Notamacropus eugenii: one gene and its partners. The protein of the gene in region 1 interacts with the protein of each later gene in a biochemical or structural test. Links are inferred from orthologs where the notes say so. Each region holds a gene or a part of one and is shown in the gene's direction. Other genes may lie near its edges. The genes, in order: BTK, IBTK and SH3BP5.

The links.
Region 2: the proteins of BTK (region 1) and IBTK form a complex in vitro, tested with the Homo sapiens proteins (2 studies listed by BioGRID). The link is inferred for Notamacropus eugenii from reciprocal best matches to the Homo sapiens genes BTK and IBTK.
Region 3: the proteins of BTK (region 1) and SH3BP5 form a complex in vitro, tested with the Homo sapiens proteins (2 studies listed by BioGRID, with this or other methods). The link is inferred for Notamacropus eugenii from reciprocal best matches to the Homo sapiens genes BTK and SH3BP5.

The regions. Positions count from the first base shown.
Region 1 is NC_092879.1:92,839,126-92,846,413, reverse strand, and holds the start of BTK (tyrosine-protein kinase BTK), read left to right. Parts: upstream 1-4,199; 5' UTR 4,200-4,350; intron 4,351-4,547; 5' UTR 4,548-4,658; intron 4,659-7,288. Other genes in the region: RPL36A (large ribosomal subunit protein eL42), read right to left, coding at 629-808. UniProt on the Homo sapiens protein: Non-receptor tyrosine kinase indispensable for B lymphocyte development, differentiation and signaling. Binding of antigen to the B-cell antigen receptor (BCR) triggers signaling that ultimately leads to B-cell activation.
Region 2 is NC_092873.1:154,841,895-154,849,632, reverse strand, and holds the start of IBTK (inhibitor of Bruton tyrosine kinase), read left to right. Parts: upstream 1-4,702; 5' UTR 4,703-5,211; intron 5,212-7,738. UniProt on the Homo sapiens protein: Acts as an inhibitor of BTK tyrosine kinase activity, thereby playing a role in B-cell development. Down-regulates BTK kinase activity, leading to interference with BTK-mediated calcium mobilization and NF-kappa-B-driven transcription.
Region 3 is NC_092874.1:38,576,333-38,584,279, forward strand, and holds the start of SH3BP5 (SH3 domain-binding protein 5), read left to right. Parts: upstream 1-4,860; 5' UTR 4,861-5,099; coding exon 5,100-5,249; intron 5,250-7,547; coding exon 7,548-7,610; intron 7,611-7,947. UniProt on the Homo sapiens protein: Functions as a guanine nucleotide exchange factor (GEF) with specificity for RAB11A and RAB25. Inhibits the auto- and transphosphorylation activity of BTK. Plays a negative regulatory role in BTK-related cytoplasmic signaling in B-cells.

The DNA.
Region 1 (7,288 bases):
AGACTTCAAGGCCTTCCAAGGAGGGCGCCCCCTAGCGGCCAGAGCTTGGGAGGCAGCGCCAACCTTCGATTCCCACCCTCCTCCTCCTCCGGTCTCCACCCCCCCACGCCCCCACCAAGGCCCAGGTGCTGGGGTCCGGCTGCCGGGCGCGTTAGACCGGGCACGGCCACACCCCACCGCACCCCCGCCGACCGCCATGTTTCCTTTGTTCTCGCCCACCCGCCTCCAGCTGAAGCCCTGCGAGCCCAAGTTCGAGCGCCTCCCGGAAGAGCGGGCTCGTCAGGGGGGGCCAAGCTCTGCAGGGCCCTCCAAGCCGACCCGCACGAGCTATGACCATGCCCGATTCTCGCGCCTCCCCGGACGCCCACGATGGCCGCCGCAGCGTCGTCATCCGAAAAGAAAGCGACGTGGCCGGAAATGGGGGTAGAAAGAGGCTGCGGGCCGCATGGCTTCATGGGAAACGCCCTCCGAGTCCAAGAGGGGGAAATGCGCCGTGCGCCCTCTGGCGGCCGAGTTCTAAATTGCGGTTCTGCATTGCGCAGAACGCCATGACAGGCGGGGAGACAAAGGCTGAGAGGAGACAAAAGGGCAACGGAAACGTGCAGGGCAGAGGGCGCTAAGGACTCACCGAAGGGCAGTGATGCGCTTCCAACTGGGCTTCTCGGATGTCCAGGCCGCTGGGATCCCTCGGCCGAGCGCTCATAGGCGAGCGCTCGGCCGAGGATGACGACGAGCTGAAGAAAACGACTGACTTCCAAGGATGACTGCGAAAGACTGCGGCTTTCCTGAAAAGGTGGCACACGCGCATGCCTTGACGTCAGGGGGAGGGGCTGCACGGAGGCCCGCCTCTGATGCACACTGCCTGGTGGGCGTGGCCTCGTCATTTCTTTTCCCCGCCACGCCCCTCGTCCTCGCCCCGCCCCCTCTTCCTCGCCCCGCCCCTTCTCCCACCTCCCCCACTCGCTGGGCTGATGCTTTTACAACGTTTAGATCAGACAAGATCCTTAGGAAATGATGTGTTTGCATGACTTCTCTAAGCTCCTTTGCAGCTCTAAACCATGATCAATCCCCTCCTATGACAAGTGAGTAAACTAAGGCCCCCAGAAAGAAAAGCTCCTGTCCAAAGTCACAGGGCTAGTAAAAACCAGGCCCTCTGATGTCAAGTCCACTTGAAAGGATTCTAGAAACTCCTGGTTTTACAGTGGAAGAAACTACTGGCTCAGAACTCTTCTCCAAAGAAAACTGTGTCCTTACCACAGCTTAAGGGTCTTTCTGCCCCTTCCTGCAAATTGTTGTTGCTGTTCACCTGTTTTCAGTCATGTCCAACCCTTCCTGACCCCATGTGGGCTTTTCTTGGCAAAGATCCTGGAGTGGTTTGCCATTTCCTTCTCCAGCTCATTTAACAGGTGAGGAAACTGAGGCAGACAGGGTGAAATGACTCACCCAGGGTCACACAGGTAGGAAGTATCTGAGGCCAGACTTGAGCTCAGGTCTTCCTGATTCCAGACCCACCTAGCTGCCCTTCCTGCAAATTATCATCACTATTATAATATACACAGTACATCATCTGTCCCATCCTCAAAGCCTTTCCAACTTGGTAGGGCTTGTCAGAGCTTGGTGTCATTTGTAGATGCTGTGTTGACAAAGCCTGAGTCTCCTCCATAACATGTTGAGGCACCAAAATACATAGGGTCCTAGGGACTAGATGCAGAGTTGGAGGGGGGTCTTAGAGGTCATCTAGTCAAAACTCATTTTACAGAAAAGGAATCTGAGACCCAGGGAGATCAAACAAACTTGTTCCAGGATATAGGCAGTAGCAGAGCTGAGATTTGAAAGTAGGCTCTATGACACCAATTCTAGTTTTCTTTCCACTAGGGTGGGGGATAATGACTATTAAAAGATATTATTTATTTATTAATTATTCTTAAGTGCAAAATGCCATGTTGAGCCAACCAAATGAGAGCTGAGGCCTTTGGGTAATAAATATACGGAGTCAGAGACACTGGGATCAAATCTTGACTTGACCCCTTACTACTTCCATGACCTTGGACAAATCACCTTCACCAGGCCTCCATTTCTCTATCTATAAAATGAAGAGGTTGGACTATATGATTAGCAAGGGCCCTCCCAGCCCTAATATCTGTATTCTCTGAGACTGCAGACTATGGGGCTCAAGGGAAGTAGCCCTCCACTCCTCCTCCTTGGTCTAGTACAGAAGGATCTGAAGACCACAAGACCTTTTTCACTTAATAGCACTGCCAAAATACCTGGTGGATAGGATTAGCCAGGATGGTGGTCACTTCCATTTTATTCCTCAAACTTTTAGCTAGCTACCAAAATTTATGGAATTGGTTTTATAAGAGTAAATAAATTTGATTCTTCCAGTTCAAAGTCATCCTGAAATTGTGGAGCATCTGTAAGCTGCAAATCATCCCCATCCAAGAGAAAGTCCCCATTACCTTTTTCCCCTGTCTCCCCATAAAGCTGAAGGCTAGCACCCACTAATCCAATGGAATATCCCAGGAACCAGACATCCCCTTTGGCTTGCTTTCATGTTGTGGCCACTGCAAGTTAAATGTGTTCTGAGAAATCCAACAACACAATAGATAATGCCGTCTCTGACCCCATGTCCAGAAAACACAGACCATGGAAGGTAGCCAATCCACTACTTTAGGACTTGGAAGGAAACAAAAGTGAAACTTCCCAAACCTTTATCTAATCAGATGCATTGTTAGTGCGATAAGTGTTCTTACTCCTTTTAACATCATGGGTTTTGGGGGACACAAGTGTGGAGCAGATGTCTAAAGCTCTGAGATAAAATACAACCTTTGGTGCTTATTGGCTCCATGGCCAGTTTCTTCAACTGTAAAATGAATATAATAACAGCCCTTGTAACTACACTGACTCTTTACAAACTTTAAAGCACCATATAAAGGTCAGTTATTTTTACTTATTTGTCTGCTTTGAGTAAATGTGAGAACTAACCAGGCCAATACTTGGCCAATAAAAAGGTTTTGAAAAAATACATACCCATTTAAGACAACTTTGTTGCTTTGAGAATCTTGACAGGCATGTGAAGGTTTCATAGAAGCTTGGGAAGACTTGTATGAACTGAGGCAGAACCAAGTCAGTCACTCAGTCAATAGATGTTAGAACTCAGATCATTTCAATGACCAATCTTGACTCCCAAGGCCTAATGTTGGCAAAACACTTAATGTATCCTACCTCCTTTGATCCTCACAACAGTCCTGAAAGGTAGGTGCTATTATTATCCCCATGGCAGAGCTAAGGAAACCAAAGTGACTTGCTAAGGGTCACCTGACTGATAAGTGTCTAAGGCAGATTTGGAACCCAGTGTAACAGACTTCTGTCCTCTTTGCAGAGAAGGGGTGGTTATGGATGCAGAACAAGACATATGTTGTCAGATATGGCTGACTTCTGTTTAGAGCTGTTTCGAGATTTGGAGCAACGTTGGAGTTTGGGGGAGGGCTGTAGGTGACCGCAATGTAAATAAAGGCATCGATGAAACTTTTAAACATTTTAAATAATCTTAATAACTTGATAACTTGCAGTGGAGCCTAGGAAGGGCTTCTGCATGAGGCACCCAAGACAGGCAACTAAGGGTATGCTAGTGGGGGGAGGATGGATGGCAACATTGCAGTGGGATGCCTTCACCATCTGGTGCCCAATGCTCTAATTCCTAAGATAGCACGTGCCAACACTTATTTCCTGGGAGAATTGTGGGAGAAATGTGCCTCCTGGACTGACCAAAGGAAGACACTCCTTTTCACACTGAGTAGGAGAAGGGTGGGCTAGAGGCAGCAGTGGGGCTCAGCCCCAGAGCCAGCTGGGAACAATATGCCAGTTTTCTTCTGAGTGGCCCAAAGAGGCATGCTTTCCAGGATTACAGAGTCCTAAATAATTAAAGGCATAGTCTCCTAATAAGGGTCTTAAATGGAAAAAAAAATCAACATTCCTGGAAAATAGAGAAGGTACAAGTTTGCTTCTTGGCCCATGTTCTGACATCTTTATCTGCAGAAGAAAAAAAATCTTTCTTAGAAAATGACTCAACAGAGGAAGTCTTCCTATCTCTAGCTCTGCCGTTTTCTGGAGAAACTATCCCCTTTAAGTGCAGTTGTCTCAGCTCCAAGCCCCTCTGCCGTGGGTGGCCTTCCTCACAGGCTGCTTGCCCTGTCTGTCTACCTCTCCCTGCCTTGCCCCCCATTTCTACACTCCTCTTTCCTCTCTAGTTTTGCTCCCTGTGTTCTGCCTGTTCCTGTAGCCCTGAAGTCAAGGTTGTTTTCCACCTTTGTGGCCTGGCTCTACGGCCTGAGCCTCAGTGACACCAAAGTAGGTGGAGGCTTTTTTCTGAGCCCAACTCATGGTGGCAGTATTGGGGGTTCCAGGCTGATGGAAGGGGAAATAAGATACCATGCCTCTGAGAAGGGAGAAGAAAAAAAAGACATTGGTTTAAGTCAGGAAACAAAAAAAGGGGAACTGAGTGTCTGTGAAAGGGTGGGGTTTGCTCACACTGTCCTTCCTCTCAGGACTGTAAGAATATGTCTCCAGAGCCAGTCTCTGTGCTGATCGAATCCCACCTTCCACATCTGGGCAGCTTAATGCATCTGGGAAACCGCCAGCATTGAGTCAGGACTCAGGTAGGTGGTCAGTGTATGGTGGTGGTCAACAATGACTGAGTATCGACAGTGAGTACCTTCCCCCCTCAGGGCCATATGGGAGGGCTGGGAGAAAACATGGCTGGTGTCGGAGGTGGCCACAGGAGGTGGATGATGGGGGGTGGGGGGGGACTCAAAGCACCAAGTTCTGACAGCGCTAGATAACCAAGAGAGGCCAATGTTGTGGCCTAAGGGACTAAGGAAAGTGGAAGGAAGGAGTAGAGTGGAGCCCCAGAATCAGTCACAGGTAACGGAGAAGCACAAGCACTGTCACAAAACAAAGCTTCCCCTCTTCATAGCCTTTGCAAGTCTGGAGAGTGCACTACAGAGGCCCTTCTGGCCTGGGGAGACCTCTTTGCAAATGTTCAGCTGGGCCTTAGAAGGCAGCAGCATGGTGGGGTGATTTGGAGGCAAAAAGTGGAGGCCTGAATCATAGCTGTATGACCACAGAGGTAGGGAATATCAGAATTCCCCACACACACACACATTTCCTAGAATTGGCTAATGTGATCAGGACCTTTGTTTGATGGCCTCCAGAAAGGGAGAGCCCGCCACTTCCCAAGGCAGCTGCCTTAACTTCCAGCTCTAAGTGTACCATCATGGAATCCCAGATTTCAAGCTGAAAGGTTCCAGGGAAGTTATCTGGTCCAGATATTTGGACAAGTTAGTTCATCCCTCTGTATCTCACTTTCCCTCTGTGTAAAATGAGAGGATTCCATTAGGGGACCTTGATGTTCTTTCTAGCATTCTAGGTCTTGAATTCCTCTGTGCATGAGCTGAAAGGTCCACCCTAGGATGATCAGGAGAGCACAAGATGCTGAGTAAAGGCACTTGGAAGATGTGGGATGCCTACTGAGGGTCTCATGAAGCCAAACATTAGGTTCCATTTCAGTCTCAAATAAGGAATAAGTATACAGAGTCAGAACCAACCTAATGTTCATGTTTGATTTTTTAAAAAATCTAATTCTTTAGGTCAGGGACAGGCAGCCTGTGTCACTGGCATAGTCGTTACTTAGTCCCATTTCTCATCTCTCCTCTCCTCATGCTCTCCTTTTCTTTCTTCCTCTTTTTCTTGCTCTCTCTCTTTCTCCTGTTCCCTCTTCCTTCTCTCCTCCCCTGGGCTCTGATGGGCATTGCTGAGCTAGCACTGCTCATCACTGTTACTGACCCTAATCAGGGCCTTAGTCTAGCAGGGGACAGGGAATTTGAAGTTTGAGGCCTGGGATCAAATGTCGGCTCTGCCCCTCACTACCTGGCTCACTTTGGCCTCACCTGTGAGGGTCTCAAGAAGCACTTGACCTACCTATGTAGGCATCTGTCTCTTTGGTCCATGACCTGTATTTCCTTCACCCACCGCTGCCTGCCATCTTCCTAGCCTGGTGCTGTATATTTGAGAGAGCTGGACTTGATGACTGCCAAGATCCCTTCCCTCTCTAAACCCAGGTGGGGGGGTGGGAGTGGGGGTTGTATTTTTACATACATGTACATGTGTGTGTGGTTGTATGTGTTCTTATGTGTGCATGTATGTGCATATGGCTATGTGTGTATTTCTGTGTGCATGTACATGCATTGTGTGGCTGCATATATACATGCATTGTGTGGCTGTGTATGTACATTCATGCATTGTGACTGTATTTCAGTGTGTACATGCATGCACATGTGGCTATGTGTATATTTCTGTGTGTATGTACATGCATTGTGTGTGGCTTGTGTATTTCAGTGTGTTATGTACATGTATGCACATGTGTCTCTGTGTATTTCTATGTGTGCATACATACATTGTGTGACTGTCTGCATTTTGGTATGTATGTACATGGGTACACATGTGACCTTAAGTTGGGGTGGTGTCTGTCAGTAAGAGAGGAGCCAGCCCCCTCCAGTGTGGCATCGCCTGTTCTTAGGGCCACCAGAAGGTCTCTGGTCAGTTCTAGCCCTCCTCCTGGCAGGGCTGCAGCTGATTGTGGGCCCTGCGGGGCAGAGAAGGTTGTTCCAGACTCCTTATTCTTGTCTCCCAGGCCACTGGGGCAAGAACAAGTGGTTACTCTCTGAATTGCCTTTGGAACTCATAGGGGAGGGGGAGAGGGGCTGGCCCTGTGATTTCATTGGTACAGGGAACTTCCAGTGCAGAAACTCCCTCCATCAATCACGTCAGCACCTTCTCTACCACTCAGGCTAAGAGACTGAGTGTCTTGGTCACTAAGAGGGAAAGTGATTTGAGCAGGGTCACACAGGTAGGATGCAGGTATTCCTGGCGTGAAGGTGATCCACTCTACCACACTCCCTGTCTTCAGGACTTACAGGGGTGGGAAAAGGAGTGTGTGACCATGGAAGAGGAGGAATGGAAAACTAATGTTCCTCCCTAGGGGTAGGACTGGAAAAGAAGTAAGAGAAATGCTAGGCTCAGGCCACATGGTGCCAGGGGCTTTGTGTCCCTACTATGTTCCTTCACTCTTCTGGCCTCCCACTTTCCTTTGACCAAAAGGAAGCTGGAAACAAGGGGTGGTGGGGGTGTCGGGGAAGAAGAAGTGACCATACACACCAGGCTCCCTAGGACTCTCCTGCCTCCTGGACCTTGCTTTAGCTTTGTCACTGTGCTTGTAGGTATGGTGAGG
Region 2 (7,738 bases), on another chromosome or scaffold:
CAGGTGAACTTCTTATGAACTTCTCTATGATGCCATCATAGCCCAATAAACTCATCATTGGAAAATCTCATCATATTGAAAAATCAAAACTACTTTGATATTCACATTTCATGAGTACCATCTGTCCTTCTGATCTGAGGGAAAATTCATGAGCTCCAAAACTTCCACTTAAGGGCCAAAGACAGTCACTCCTCATTTCCTCTAGATACACTACTTGTGGACTTTCTTCATCATGATCCTGTATGATTTTTCTTCTGCACTCTGCCCTCCCCATTTTTCCAGTTTCTTGTTGTGTGCTGTCTTCCCCTGTCAGCCTGTTAGCTTCTGGAAGACAGGGATTGCCTTTTTTTTTATTTGTAATTCTATCTTGAGAGCTGAGCACAGTGTCTGACACATACTAGGTATTTAATAAATGTTTATTGCTTGACTTTGGCATGATGCAGCAGAAAACTCTCATGATAGTAGGAGAAGGACAAAGTACTGGCTCAGTTAAAGAGAATCAGCTTGTGGCTTTTTCTTCTTTCTTTTCCTTTTCTCCAAGTAGAATCATGTAATTCTGAGATTTCCAGTTTGGGGTGGGGGTTCGCTTGTTCCTTTCATACCCCAGCAAGAAGGAATTTTTTACATACTAGCTAGAATAGTGGGACCTCACTGGCCAAGCTTGTATCTGGGCTCCTTGCCTTTTTATTATCCATTTTAAGTCTTCTTTTCTGAGTAGGTGACTGAGCAACAATCTCTATCTGGATATGTCTAGACTTGGAGATGACCTCATGGTTTTGAGTGGTCTGACAGTCTAGCTGACTGGTGGCAGTGAATTTTTTCATCAGAGGTGACTACTAGCAGTAGTATGACTAGGAGTTGTTTGGACAGAGAAAAGGCAAAATGTGGCTATGGCCATTCACTAGGGCCACAGATTGTTTTATGTTCTAATGAGGCTTAAATGTCAGTCTCCCATGAGATTGTAGGTATAGATGAAGTTACCGAATCCTTTTCAAAGTAGTTTTGCCAATGCGCAGTCTTTAGTGACTTCATTTTTCATGGGTGTGCAGAAAATAAATGCCTATCTCAAACCTGGTTCATATTACATATTTTGACAATCTTTTTAATTCTCAGCTTTTTGAGGAGATGTAGATTTGAACTAAAATCTAAGCCTTAAATAATTTATCCCATGGTGCTTGGGTTGGGATTTAATTAACTTAAGGGTGTAATGCCAGGCTCCCCTATGACAGAACCCAATTGGACTGTATGCCTTTGTTCAGGGTTGAGAGGGTCCATTCTGTTGGGTACAGAGAAGGGGTATAGTTTCTCAGCTGTTTAAGCCCAGAAGTAGTTGCTTATTGTAACAATTATATATTCTGTATTCACATATCTGTATACGTGCTATTCTTTCCCCTCTCTACCTCCTTATTGTACCCCTGCCCCCAAGAAGGAACTCGAGGGAAAGAACTGCCTCATTTTTATAGCTATATTCTCACTGACTAGATCATTTGGCTTACATAGTTTCTGTAACAATACATCTTTTTTTGCTTTTAATTATTTCCCCCACCTGGAATCCTCTCTTCCTTTCTATTCTTCATGGAAGTTCAATGAGTCAAGATCCATTTCAAATCCCACTTCTTTTGAAATGTAACTTGATAGTTCTATGTATTATGTATACTTCTCTTCTTCTTGATCACTTAATTGCTTTTATCATGCATTTTTAGCTTGTGATTATCCTGAATTAAGTACTATGCTATTATTGTGCATTATTGTGAATTATACACTGTGCTGTTTCTCAAATGCATAAAATCTTCTCTCTTCTAAAAGACTGTAAACTCCTCTGGGGGAAGATTTAGTTCACCTACTACTTCTGTATTCTCCTTCAAACCTAATCTCGTTCTAGAAGTTCAATAAATATTTATTGAATTGAAATGTAATGCACTTAATTGACAACTAGTATGCAGAATTTCTTTAAAGTAGTTACTGCTTTTATCATAACATTATAGATTCAGGGCTACACTGGATTATAGAGGTCATAAGTAGAACAGACACTTTCTGAGGGCAAGCAATTAATATGGTACCTGTATATAGTAGGCACTGAGATACTTAGCCAACAAGCTGAATTCAAATCAAATTACTTACCAGCTCTGTGACTAAGCAAGTCACTTCACAACCATCTGCCTCAGTTTGTCACTTCACAACTGTCTGCCTCAGTTTCAAAACTGTAAAATGGGGATAATAAGAACACTTACCTCACAGAGTTGTGAGGATCAAATAAATGAGATATTTCCAAAGTGTGTAGCACAGTGTTTGGCACATAGTAGGTGCTTCATAAATGCCTATTCCCTTCCCTTCCAATAAACATTTATTATATATACTTACTACGTTTCAGGCATTGTGTGGCATGCTGGGGACACAAACAAAGGTAAAAATTCTCTCTGTCCTCAAGGAGCTCACATTCAAATGGAGCAGGCATGTAAAATAATTAGATACATAAACAACATTACACAGTAGATAGAAGTCAATCTCAGAGGAGAAAGCACTAGCAGATGATGGTTTTTGAAAAGCCTCCTGCAGAAGACTGAATTTGAGATAAGTCTTGAAGGTAGCCAGGGAAACTAATAGAAGGGAGTAAATTCCAGGCACAGGAGTCGACGAGAATAAAAGCAAAAAGACAGAATATGTTATGTGTGCTAGAAGCAGCAAATAGGCCAATGTGGTTGGACTGTGGGGCAGGTGGAGGGGAATAAAGGGTAAGAGGACTAGGGAGGCAGGAGCACCTCTTTAAATACCAAACAGAGGACTTTATATCTGATCCTGGGGGTAGCAGAAAGTCTCTGCAGCTGACTGAGTAGAGAATGACACAATCATACCTACACTTAAAAATCAGTTTGGTAGTTGAGGATAGATTGGAATAGGACAAAAGTTATTGCAGACCAATTAGAAGGTACTGCAGTAGTCCAGGCTAGAGATGATGAAGGCATGAACTAGGATGGTGGCTGTGTGAATGGAAAGAAGGGGGCATATATAAGAAATGTCATCAAGGTAGAAATGACAAACCTTGACAGCAGATTGGATATGTGGAGTAAGAGTGAATGAGGAGATAAAGATGACTTCAAGTTTGCGAGCCTAGTTCCTTTGGCAGTAGTAGGAAAGTTTAAAAGAGATGAGAATTTGGAGGGGAAAGATAATGATTTCTGTTTTGGACTTCAGTTTGACACGTCCAAAAGGCAGCTGGAAATTTAGGACCAGAAGAAAAACTTGGGCTGGATATATAGACCTCAGAATCATTTACGTAGAGATGATAATTTAACGTATGGGAGCTGATGAGATCACCAAATGAGAGTACAGAACGGAGAGTGACAAGAAGGGAGCCCAGAACAGTCTAGTGGAAAATTGAAGAGAAGTCATATAGGAAGTTGAATCAGGAAAGACAGCAAAGTTACTTTAAAAAAAAACAAACCAGAACAAACTAGAGGAAAGAGTACTCAGGGGGTGATCAATAGTGTAGCAGATTTTAAAAATGAAAACGACTGAGAAAAGGTCATTAGATTTGGCAAGTAAGAGATCACTGGTGATTCTGGAGAAAGCAATTTCAGCTGAACGTTGGGGTGATGAAGTTAGAAGTCAGATTGCAAAAGGTGAATAAAGTGGTTCCAAACCTCTCATTTTACAGATGAGGCAAGTAAAGTCCAGAAAGAAAGAGTGATTTCCCCAAGGAAGCACAGGGAGGTAATCAGACAGTCAGGGATTCAGGTGTGTATCAGGCAATTAATGAAGTTTTCTTTTAATATCAAACTATGATCCCTACATCTTTCATTTTGCATGCTATCTCTTCCTAACTTGTGAACATATTTCTCATATATAAACATACATATGTATGTAGCTAGACATAGATACACATCCCCTTCTTCCTCTTCACACAGTCACTACCCTAGTTCAGGTATCGAATGGTCCCAATTAGAAAAAAAGCAGCAAAGAAAACAAAGGTGAGAAATGTATGGAAGCCATTATCTCTAGATGTTCCTAGGCGTTTTTCCTCCTTTCTCAAGCCCTCAACGTGAGATGCTAGCGGAGGGGAAACCAAACCTTGAATGGCAAGGGCTGGCACGACAAAGCCCTATCTCTGGGCGCTGGCGCTGGACGGCTTTGGTTCAGATTCTGCCTCTGACCTTTTCCATGGCAGCTTGGGCAGTGATTACATTAGCAAACAAGTGTTAAAGAACTCCGTTTCCTCATCCGCAAAAAGAGGCGGGGTTGGTCTACACGGCCTCGGGGGTCTCCTCCGGTTCTGGGGTTCGGCACAGCAGCAAGTCCTAACGTGGCAGCACACTGGGCATGGAAGGGCCCGTCCAAATCCCGCCTCCGAGGAGGCGGTCACCACTCGTGACAGGTCAAACCGGGGAATGACACATGGCTTAGCCAGGTGGCATTTCAGTGCCCAGAGACGGGCACGGTGACAGGGCAGGAAGATGATGCCCGTGGCCCCTGGGTGACCCGTGCGCAGTCGGGCAGCGGGGGCTCAGGTGGCGCAAAAGCTCCCGGGAGGGTGGAAGAGGCCCATCCCCCGCCACGTGGGCGCCCGCCCCTCCCCCTCCCGAGCCCGATTCGGGTCAGCGTCCACACCCGCGGCTCCAGTAGCGGAGGAGTGGAGCCGCCGACCCCGGGGGTTGTGTCAGAGGGCGGGGCGGCTTGGTCCTGGGCACAACCCCACGGGGCGCGCGGTCCCGAAGGAGCCGGTCCCTCTAGGGCCGCTTGGGCCCCAACTTACGTGGCACTCCCCTAAGTCCCTCCCACCCTCCGAGCCGGTGTCAGGGTCAGGGTCAGTCAGAGGCAGAGGGAGTCCTATGGGGGAGGGGCACAAGGTGGACTTTCAGAGGAAGCGAGGGGTAAAGGAAACGGCCGCGGCCCGGGGAACCCTGGCAGCCGCTCAGCCAATCCCCAAGAGGCATCTGTGAGCCGCAGCCAATCGGCGCCCGTCTTGTTCCAGGGTGGGTCCCACCCACTTTACACCATCTCCCTCTCTCCTCCGGTCCAGCAGCGCCTCGTCGGCTCCCGTTGAGGTTTGAGGGTCATCGCCGTTGGCCACCGCCGGACCCTCCGGACAGGGCACTGGGAACCGGCTTAGCTGGCGCTCCTCGCGTTCCCCGGCTGTTGTCACTGAGGATGAGTGCCCAGTCCGCCGAGCGCAGACCCCGTGGAGACCGCCGGCGCTGTTTTATCTAGCGACTGGTGAGGGGCGGCCAGGGGGCGGGGAGGAGAGCCTGAGCCCTGTAGGGAAGCCCACCCCGCCCCCCCAGGCCGAGCTGCGCGTGTGTGCGTGTGTGTGTGTAGGGGGGGAAGCGTTAGGCCCCATCCCAGGGTGTTTATCTAAGCACCCGGCTGGGGGGGGCCTGCGCCAGGCCCTCTGCCGATGAATGGTCAGCTGGGTTACGTGGTGGTGGCACCACCTGCCCCCGCGGATGCTGCGGTCTGAGGCCGACCTTTGGATTGGGCCACCTCCTCCTGATCCCTGCGCCCTCGCTTGTTGTCTGACCAGCGTCCCCCTCGAAGCGGACCGTGCCTGTCACGTGACGTGGCTCTCCCAAAGTGCTGGTGCTTGGGGTGTCATCTGCGCTCCAACTCCGAAGCCGGAGAGTGGAGCGCTAGGGTTTTTTGTTTTTATTCTGGCAGTGATCACGCTTGGAGGAAACAGTCTCCTTGCGCTTGAGTGTGGTGGATAAAATGCGGAAAGGGGAACTTCACACTCATTTTCAAACCAGTCTCATTTTAAAAGTTCCTTGCTACTCCGGCAGCGGGACAAACCTTTTCTCTCTTTTTACCCGGAGCAGTGATTGAGGAAGGATTTAAGTGTCATTTTTTTAATTCACAAATTAATGCTTTTAAAAATTTGAGTGGCAGCAAAATAAAATGGGTACGCCTTTACACCGGACTACAAATCCCATCTATCTTGGGCCCCCCCCCCCCCCAGCTGCTTTATTCATGTGCTGTGTTTCTACCCTGCTGTCGAGTGGAGTGCAAATTCAGAAGCCTTTTTGTTGTTGGTAGTGAAGCCCCAAATGTTTAAAATTTTTGTTTTAGTTAGTCTCTTTTTAGTTGAGAAGTTTTTTTTGAATTTATCGTAAACGTCTTGGAAACTAAAATTTGCTTTGGCCTTTATACCACATTCTATAGAGGAGCAGAGAAGCTTATCGCTTTCGTCAAGCAGTTTGGAAGAAGTGTTGGTTGAAATTACTTACATTGTGTATATATTCCTTTGCATAAAGTTGTGGAAATAAACATTTTGAAAAGAGTAAGAAGCTTTTAGGTACAGAACAGGTAGAATTAGAAACTAAGCCAGCATTGTTTTGAAAATAATTTGAATAAATGTCAAATTTTATAGCTGTTTATAGGGAAGAAATTAGTTGCCATATCCAATGAAGTTCCCTCTAAAAGTAACTTGGGAAAAATTATCCAAATTAGAATGTGGGCATTGTGCTGGTAGGGCAGCTAGGTGGCACAGTGGATAGAGCCTCAGACCTGCAGTCTGGAAGACCTGAGTTAAAATCCAGCTGTAGCCACTAGCTGTGTGTGATCATGGGCAAGTCACTTAACCTGTTTGCCTCACTTTTTTCATCTGTAAAGTAAGCTGGAGAAGGAAATGGCAAATCAGTGTCTTTACCGAGAAAACCCCAAATGAGGTCACAGAGTCTAAAATACTTGAACAGTAATAACATTGTAATGGTAGAGGATTGGAATAAATTTGCTCTGTCCAATGCAATGAAACTTTTGACAAAATAGTAAAGAGAGAAAAATCTCAGAACAATTTTTTTTAACATAATAAAGGATAAGTTTTGTAACCTTATGTGAATAACAGTTTTAGTGCTGTAAAAAAGATTGTTTTTGGTTCTGGCTAGTCATTTAAGTATTTCATTCATGATGTCATTTCACTTAAGAAGCATAGAATGTTAGAACTGAAAGGCTTCTTAGAGATTATCTAAGTTAACTAACAGATTTAGAACTTGTAGAGACCATAGAGATAATTTTTAAAATTAATCTTTCATTTTACACATGAGGAAATGGAGGCCCTAAGAGGTTAAATGACTTGTTTGAGGTCACTGAATATAGTAAGCCACAGAGTATAGGTCCATATAGAATAAATCCAACACTCTTTCCCATATGCCATGTTGCCTCAGGTACAAACCTACATAACATTTTGGATTTATGGAACTTTTTTGTCATCCTTTGTCATTTATTTAGCACCTGCTAAATATAGCACCTGCTATATTATGCTGTGCATAATATACAGTCTTAGGGACTGTTGGGGGAAAAACCCCATGAGAGTTCCTGATCTTAAGACCCTAGGGAATTTAGCTTCTGGTTGGGAAAAAGATAAGTATGTAAACAGATACCAATACAGTTGGAGAAATTAAATTGATTCTGTATCATTTTATATGTGGTTCCACTCTGTAATCGATACTCTTCTGTATTACTGCCCTATTTTGTGTGATTACTTAAGCCACATTTCTATCTTGAAGTTGAACTCAAGAATTTAGCTAAAGTTAGTTTGATAGAAAAGTTCTCTCTCATGCTGGTATTCCCCTGGGTATATCTGTCTAGCCCCACAAAATTAACATCCTCAAAAGATTTGTCATGAGTCCTTTTCTGTCTTTGTATGGTTAAAGGAGTTTTTATCTTTTTATCTCTGTATCTTTTTATCTGCAAGAAGACACCAGCCTCTAGCAAAGATGACAAAATACAGATGGGTTCCATAAAACAA
Region 3 (7,947 bases), on another chromosome or scaffold:
CTCTCTTTTGACCCTATCCTTCCTCAAAATTGTTTACTTCTAATTACCTCCTCCTCCCATTTGCCCTCCATTGTATCACCCACTTTTCTCCCCTACTTTCCTGTAGTGTAAGATAGATTTTCATACCAAATTGAGTGTGCATATTATTCCCTCAAGTCAAATGTGATGAGAGTAAGATTCACTCTTTCCCTCTCACCTCTCCTCTCTTCCCCTCCATTGAAAAAGCTTTTTCTTGCCTCTTTTAAGTGAGAGATAATTTGCCCCATTCTATTTCTCTCTTTCTCTTCCCAATATATTCCTCTCTCACCCCTTAATTTAATGTTTTTAGATATTATCCCTACTTATTCAATTCACCCTGTGCCCTCTGTCTATATGTATTTAATCCCTCCAACTAACCTAATAATGAGAAAAGTCTCAAGAGTTACAAACATGATCTTTTAATAAGTCCCTTATGATTTCTCTTTCCTGTTTACCTTTTCATGCTTCTCTTTCTTCTTGTGTTTGAAAGTCAAATTTTCTATTCAGCTCTGGTCATTTCAACAAGAATGTTTGAAAGTCCTCTATTTTACTGAATGACCATTTGTTCCTCTGAAGTATTATACTCAGTTTTTCTGGGTAGGTGATTCTTGGTTTTAATCCTATCTCCTTTGACCTCTAGAATATCATATTCCAAGCCCTGTGATCCCTTAATGTAGAAGCTGCTAGATCTTGTGTTATCCTGATTATATTTCCATAATAATCAAATTGGTTTTTTTTTTCTGGTTGCTTGCAACATTTTCTCCTTGACCTGGGAGCTTTGGAATTTGGCTACAACATTCCTAGGAGTTTTCCTTTTGGGATCTCTTTCTGGAGGTGATTGGTGGATTCTTTCAATATTTATTTTACCCTCTGGTTCTAGAATATCAGGGCAGTTTTCCTTGACAATTTCTTGACAATATCTAGGCTCTTTTTTTGATCATGGCTTTCAGGTAGTCTAATAATTTTAAAATTTTCTCTCCTGGATCTATTTTCCAGGTCAGTTGTTTTTTCTAATGAGATTGTCTGCTATTTTTTCATTCCTTTGGCTTTGTTTTATAATTTCTTGATTTTTCATAAAGCCGTTAGCTTCTATCTGCTCCATTCTAATCTTTAAGGAATTATTTTCTTTAGTGAGCTTTCAAACCTCCTCTTCCATCTGGCTTTTTAGGCATTCTTCTCCTCATTGGCTTTTGGGATCTCTTTTGCCATTTGGGTTAGTCTATTTTTTAAAGTGTTATTTTCTTCAGTATTTTGGGGGGGTCTCCTTTAGCAAGCAGTTGACTCCTTTTTTCATGATTTTCTTGCATCACTCTCATTTCTCTTCCTGATTTTTCCTCTACTTCTCTTACTTGATTTTCAAAATCCTTTGTGAGTTCTTCCATGGTCTGAGACCAATTCATATATTTTTAGGAGGCTTTGGATGTAGGAGCCTTGACCTTGCTATCTTCTGTTTGTATGCTTTGGTCTTCCTTGTCACAAAAGTCAGATTCTATAGTCTGATTCTTTTTCTGCTTTTGCTCATTTTCCCAGCCATTTACTTGACTCGTGATCTCTTTGTCATAGTAGTTCTCTGATTCCAGTGGTGTTGGGGGTGTACTGTCAGCTGATTGATCCCCTCACAATTTGTGGACCTAGAGCTCCAGAAACAGTCTCTGTTGCTGCCCTTGCCCCTGCTCCTGCTGCCTTGGGCTCCTCCTCTGCAGGCTGCTCCACCCCCTCCACCACCCCGGGGCTGGGGTCAGACCACTCTACTCTCTCACACTGGTCTCACAGGTTTTTTCCACTGACCTTCCAATTTGTCCTCAGCATTTTGGGGTCATGAAGTCTGGAAATCGCCACAGGTGCCTGAGATTCAGTCCTTCCAAGGCTTGCTCAGGTCCCATCTGTGCTGGCATGGCCCACACTGTCCTGCGTTCTGCTCCCAGTGTGGCATGATAGACACTTCCTGGAGACCATCCAGGCTGTCTTGGGCTGGAAATTTGCTTCAGTCTGTCATTCTGTGGGTTCTGTAGCTCCATAATTTGTTTAGAGTAATTTTTTACATATATTTGGCTAGGTTTGGGGGGAAAGCACTAGCAAGTCCATGCTGTTACTCTGCCATCTTGGCTCCCAGTTTGTATTTTCTAGTAACAACTATATTATGCTTAAGATTGTGCCTGTGACTGAGGACTTGGCATCAAATGAATCAGAGAGATGGACAATTGTTTCACTAAAGTCCTTCTCCAGTGTTTCATCCAGGTAAAGAAGTGGTTCACTGATACTTCCAGAAACTATGCCCCAAGTCCCTAGGGGAGTGAATCTACTCAGCTTTTGGAGCTCCAGCCCTAGGCTGGGCTTCTGACCCTCAGCTGGGATTGGTGAGAGAATTCCCCTTGGTGACTACAGGCCCCAGAGCAGACCAGACTGCACATCCCATCCAGCCCTCTTGTATTGGTCTGGTCACTACGAGGTGTCCTGTACCTTTTTATCTCTTACTTTGGGTAGAGTAATCAAATCAATACCAACTCTCCTCCCATCTCCAGGCCATCTTCTTGTGCTGACTGTCCAACATTCATGAAATCCATTCTTTCCAACGTAAAGTCCCTCTCTTTTATGACGTTGCTCAGGTGCCATCTTCTGCATAAGGCCTTTCTTGATCTCCCCAACCACTAGTGGCCTCCCTCCCAAACTACTTTGTATTTAGTCTATTTGTCAACATGTATTTATAAATTTTATAATTATGTTTTATCTATTTTTAAATGTCCTTCTTGTCTCCCCAATGGAACATGAGTTCATGGTGAGTATCGATCATTCCATTGTTTGTACTTTTGTCCTTAGAGCCTGGCAAGGAGCCTGGCACGTGGTAGGCCTAAATAGATGTTTGTTGATTGATTAATTGCTTCTGGAAAGGTCAGATCAATGGATGGACCTATGGATCAACTTGGGACAGCTAGATGGCATAGTGGATAGAGTGCCCTGTTTGGAGTCAGGAAAATTCATCTTCACAAGTTCAAATCCAGACTATTTAAAGGGTGAGACTTCATAATTTGGAAATTGGCAAACTACAAGTTATGGCTTGATGTATTGATTTGCTGATTGTCTAGATTTGAGAAAGTGATGGAAAAAATGTTAATAATGCAGATAAAACTTTAAAATGTGTCTAACTACATTTCCTTCCCCACAGGAGAGCTGGGTGTTAAACATTTACCAGCACATCCCTGCTTTCACCCCTTTGTATCAGGAAATTGGTCTGGCCAATCTGAGATATTCACGAACAGTCTGACTGAAGTCTGGAAGGAGGATGATTGGAGAAGGTAAATGAAGGAGAACGGAGCACCATAGACTCATACTGGGGGGCTCCATTCCAGGTACCGATACAGAATGAGAAGGAAACTTTCAGACCTTTTAGTCCAAACCCCTCAGGAGGGTCAATTAGAAACAAGATTACAGATACCTAACTGGGCCAAGTCACTTCATTCTTCTGCACCTGGTTTTCTCAGCTATAAAAATGTATTCCATATAGAAAGGGAGATGCTTGAGGGCCAGGACTGTGGTTTTTTGTCTTGAGGGTAGGTGTGGAAAGACTAGCTATTAAGTCACAGAGGCTTCAGAGCCCTCCTGAATGCTTACTATTAGTGTGACTTTGGGCATGTGACTCAAGCATAACAGGCTGCATTTATATAAGGTTTGTAAAGCATTTCAATGTATTATCTCAACCTGGGTCTCAGTTTCCTTCTCTGAGGGCCCTTCCAAGTCTGGATGTAGGAGCCTATGGTTTGTATCCCCAGCACCTGGCATGGGTTGGACTGTATCAAGGACCATTTTAGTGGGGTATCTTTTGGTATCCTCTGGGCTTAGCACTGGGTGCCTGGTACATAGTAGGCATAAATATTAAGCATAAATATTTATTGATTCATATGCTGCTTTGCCCATCTGAAAAAGTCTATAGACCCCTTCTTAGAGTCACAGTTTTTAAGTAGTTGAAAGAAATGCTGGATTTCGGTTGGAGATTAGTGAAAATAAGATGGATACCCGCCCCGCCAAGTTCAGAGATACCTCCACCCAGCAGCCCTCATCTCTTGGACTGTTTGATCGATCCCTAAGGCTCCTTCCTGTTCTAACTCATGAGGCTCCAGTGGCAGGAGCAGGTTTAGAAACCAGGTGTCTCCTGCTGCCCCATTACCCAAGGTTAAATAGTGAGACAAACAGATTCTTCCCTCTCTAAAAAGGCATTTTAAAAGATACTTAGGTTGTATGTATGTATATACATATACACACATATAGTCATATATATATGTACACAATCTAGTTACATAAAAACTATATGTTTATAACGATATGCATAGTTATAGTTATACACAGTATATCACTACATAGTTATTCGTATACTATACCTAACATATTTATAACGATATAGTTACGTAGTATATGTAACTATCCTTATCAATATAGTTACATATGATTACATAACTTTTGTAACTACGGGGTATGTATAACTGTGTAGGTAGTTTTACGCGTCCCATATGTAGCCACGGATTTATAAGTATAAACATATAAGGAACTATCTGTCCAGTCACCTATCCTATAACCAAGAGACTCTGCCCCCAGCTAGGACCAGAGGCTTTGCCAATGGGCTCCTTGCTCGGCAGTGACTGCCGGCTGCACCGTCAATACAGAATTACAACCAAAGCTCAGTTCCAGCCCCTGCTCCCTCATTAGCCGCTGGGAGCTGCGTCCCTCGGGCGGGCCGGCTGGGCCGGGCCGGGGGGCCTCGAGGGTCCCGACAGCAGGGCAGGAGAGTGGGAGGGGGCAGGGCTGCCCAGGAGGAGGGAGGAGGCCGGGATGCTGCGCTGACAGCATCGGCAGAAGGGGCGGGCGCCCGCGTTTCCTCCTCCCCTTCCAGCGGCCGCGGCCCGGCCCGAGGGGAAGACGAGCCTCCCGGGGCAGGCTGGCCAGCCGGCGTTCCTGGACGCTGCCGGGGTCTCGGGTGTCCGCCGCGCTCAAGGGCCACACGGGCAGGCTCCGCACCGCTGCGCTCCGGAGGCGCTCAGAGCTCCCGAGGGCGCCCGGCCCGGGGCCGTGCTGCACCCCAACCTGCCCGCATGGACGCGGCGCCGAAGCGGGGCCGGCCGGAGGAGCGGCTGGCAGAGGTGAGCCCTTCACCGCCACCCACGGGGGACGAGGACGAGGACGAGATGGAGCCCGAGATGATGGAACAGGAGGAGGAGGAGGAGGTAGACCCCCGCATTCAGGTACGAGGTGGGGGGCGTCCGTGGGGGTTGCTGCACCCCCATTCTAGGCGGTCCGGGTTCGTACACCCCCATCCAGCCCGAGCTGACACCCCCACCCTGAACCACTCCCTCCCCCAGTGGGTGCGGTACGCCCGCGTGGACTGCAGGCAGGGGAGGGGGCTGCTTGATTTGGGCCGGAGCTGGGGTTTGGGGGGACGTGGCGGGGGTCCGGACACCCCTTCCTCGGCGAGGCCTCCCCACTTCGCCTACCGCACCCACGCGCGCTGCTCGTGGGCTCCCGCTGTTGGCAGCCCCCTCCGACAGCATCTGGGGATGGAGATGATAGCGGTTCACCGGGAGGTGGACAACAAAGGACAAATGGGGGGGGCTAGTGGGAGGCTCCCGGCCCCGCACTGGCTTGGCGGTGGGAGATTTAATTCCTCGCTCTGCCCCTTGGGTCAGTGCCTAGTTGTAGCGCTTCAGCTCTGGGTCTGGCCACGAAATTGCTTAACGTCCTGGCTCCTTCCTTTTCTCGTGCACCGAGAGGACTCGTCCCGTGACCAGGGTCTGCCCCCACCCTCATGGGCATCGTCGCGGTGGGAGCAGATGTCCCTCAGGGACCCATTCTGCCCAGGACCTCGGCTTTCCCTAGCCGAGTGTGCAGGTGCCCCGACCCCAGGTGGGGTGAGTCATCGGGGCATCCCCATAGGAAAGTCTTCCCTTTCCTCTAATTCATTGTTAGCCCGCGTGGTTTCATTGTCACTTCGGTGGGGTTCTCGCTGCAGAGCAGCCCCTTGGCCTGAGTCCTTACAGCAAACCCTGGGTTTTTTCCTTGTTGTTGGGGCTGTGGTCAGCGAATAGGTGGCTGGGACAGGAGGGATTTAGAGCCGCCCTGCCGAAATATGGGGCAAGGGGAGCTTTCTGGCTTCTGACTCCTAAAAACAAGTTTAAAAACCCAGTAAGGTCAGAATTCAGGCAGAGATCTGGCTTCGAGAACTCACCTTCCCTCTCCTAGAACCACCTAACTCATAAACACAATACAATAAATGATGTTTTCCAGGATCTTGCCTCTTCCTCCACCCCGAGGTCATTTTTTCTATTGCTTAAAAGCTCTTACGCAATTTTTTTGAGCCCTAATTGGTTTTTCAGTTCACTAATCAATTAAAAGATCATTTAACTCTATGGATGGGGTTTGAATGAATTGTTGGAACCGATTAGCAAGATAAAGGTCAGGTGGGAAATCGAGAATGAGGCTTTTGAATGAAAATAATTCAATTTCTCCTCCTTGAAACCAGGGCTTCCCACCTTCTTTGAGGCTCCGAGCAAGGTTCTTTGTTTCCGGAGTATCGATCACACAACTTTAACTCTCTCTTTTACAAACCCCAATTTTCAGTGCCAGGGACAGGGTCATAATAAAAGTTCTCCGGTGTAAGAACCGCTAAGGCCATCGGCTAGCTCGCACCGTTTTTGTTTTTAATCCATTCATTAACAAAGAAGAAAAAAGCCCTCAGCACCTTCTGAGCTATTGTCAGAAGTCAGGCCTTTGATTTACAGTTTTGGGAGCTGGGTAGATTCTTGACCTCGATTTATTTTTGGACTTGCAGGCTTCCTTTCTTACCATGTTAAAAAGATAGTCAATCAACCCTTAGCTCTCGGGCACTCACCCATGCCAGGGTAGCAGATTCTACTACTCTGAAGTCAGGTTCCTGGAATAAGTCTTTGCATTGTAAGCAAAGAGAAATAACCCTTGGTGGGATTACCAGAAAAAAAAGACTTAGTCTTAAAATCTTACACAAACACACACACACAAACACACTCATACACTCTTAAATGGTGGTTTCACCATCTCCTCTTCCCGCTTAACCAGGGACCCCTTTCATGGAAAGGTTTTTAAAACATGAGAAAGTTCATCCATGTTTCTGTTTCTAGTTAACATTCCAGCTAGAGCCTGAGCTATTTTCTTTGGGATCGCTGTCAGGATTAATAATTCTCCCTTAATCTTCTATTTTGTTCCCTTTGTGTCTGCTTCCAGGTAATACACTAGCTTTACTTTAAAAAAAACAAGCAAACAAAACTATAAATCTTTAAATCAGGCATTCTTAACCTTTGTTTGAGTCATGTTCATTTTGAGTCATGTTTAAGGTGTCAGGTGATGTCTTCCTTTCTTAGAAGAATGTTTGTATGTTATTGAAAGAAATGCTAAATTCTAGTTAGAAATTAGTGAAGATAGAGATTTCATATTCCCCCCCCCCCCATTCCAGATTTGCAGACCCCTCTGGTTAGGAGTCCCTGCTTTAAACTGTTTCCTTCTTTCCCCAGGGGGAACTGGAGAAACTAAACCAGTCCACGGATGACATCAACAGACGGGAAACTGAGCTGGAGGTATAGGTTTCTGTGTCCCCTTCCCCTCTTCTGTGAAAGGGTTTCCATGGGACTCTTATTTTGGCCTGTTGTTTGATTTTAGTGGTCGTGAGATGAGCCTTGGGGTTGCCTCCTTGGGAGCTTGGCCAGTAACTAACTGAAACAGTTGGGTTCAGACAGCTGAGCCTGGTTTCTCATTCCTGCTCTGCTTTTCACGACTGGAGCTGGCTCAGCCAGGCTCAGTCTCAAAGGTCTGCATTGCATCACCTAGACCTAAGTGTAGGCCTGATGGATCTGGGGAGAACAATCCAGGATCCTTGGGGCCCAGCAAGTTGCCTCGTGTCCAGATTGTGACTCC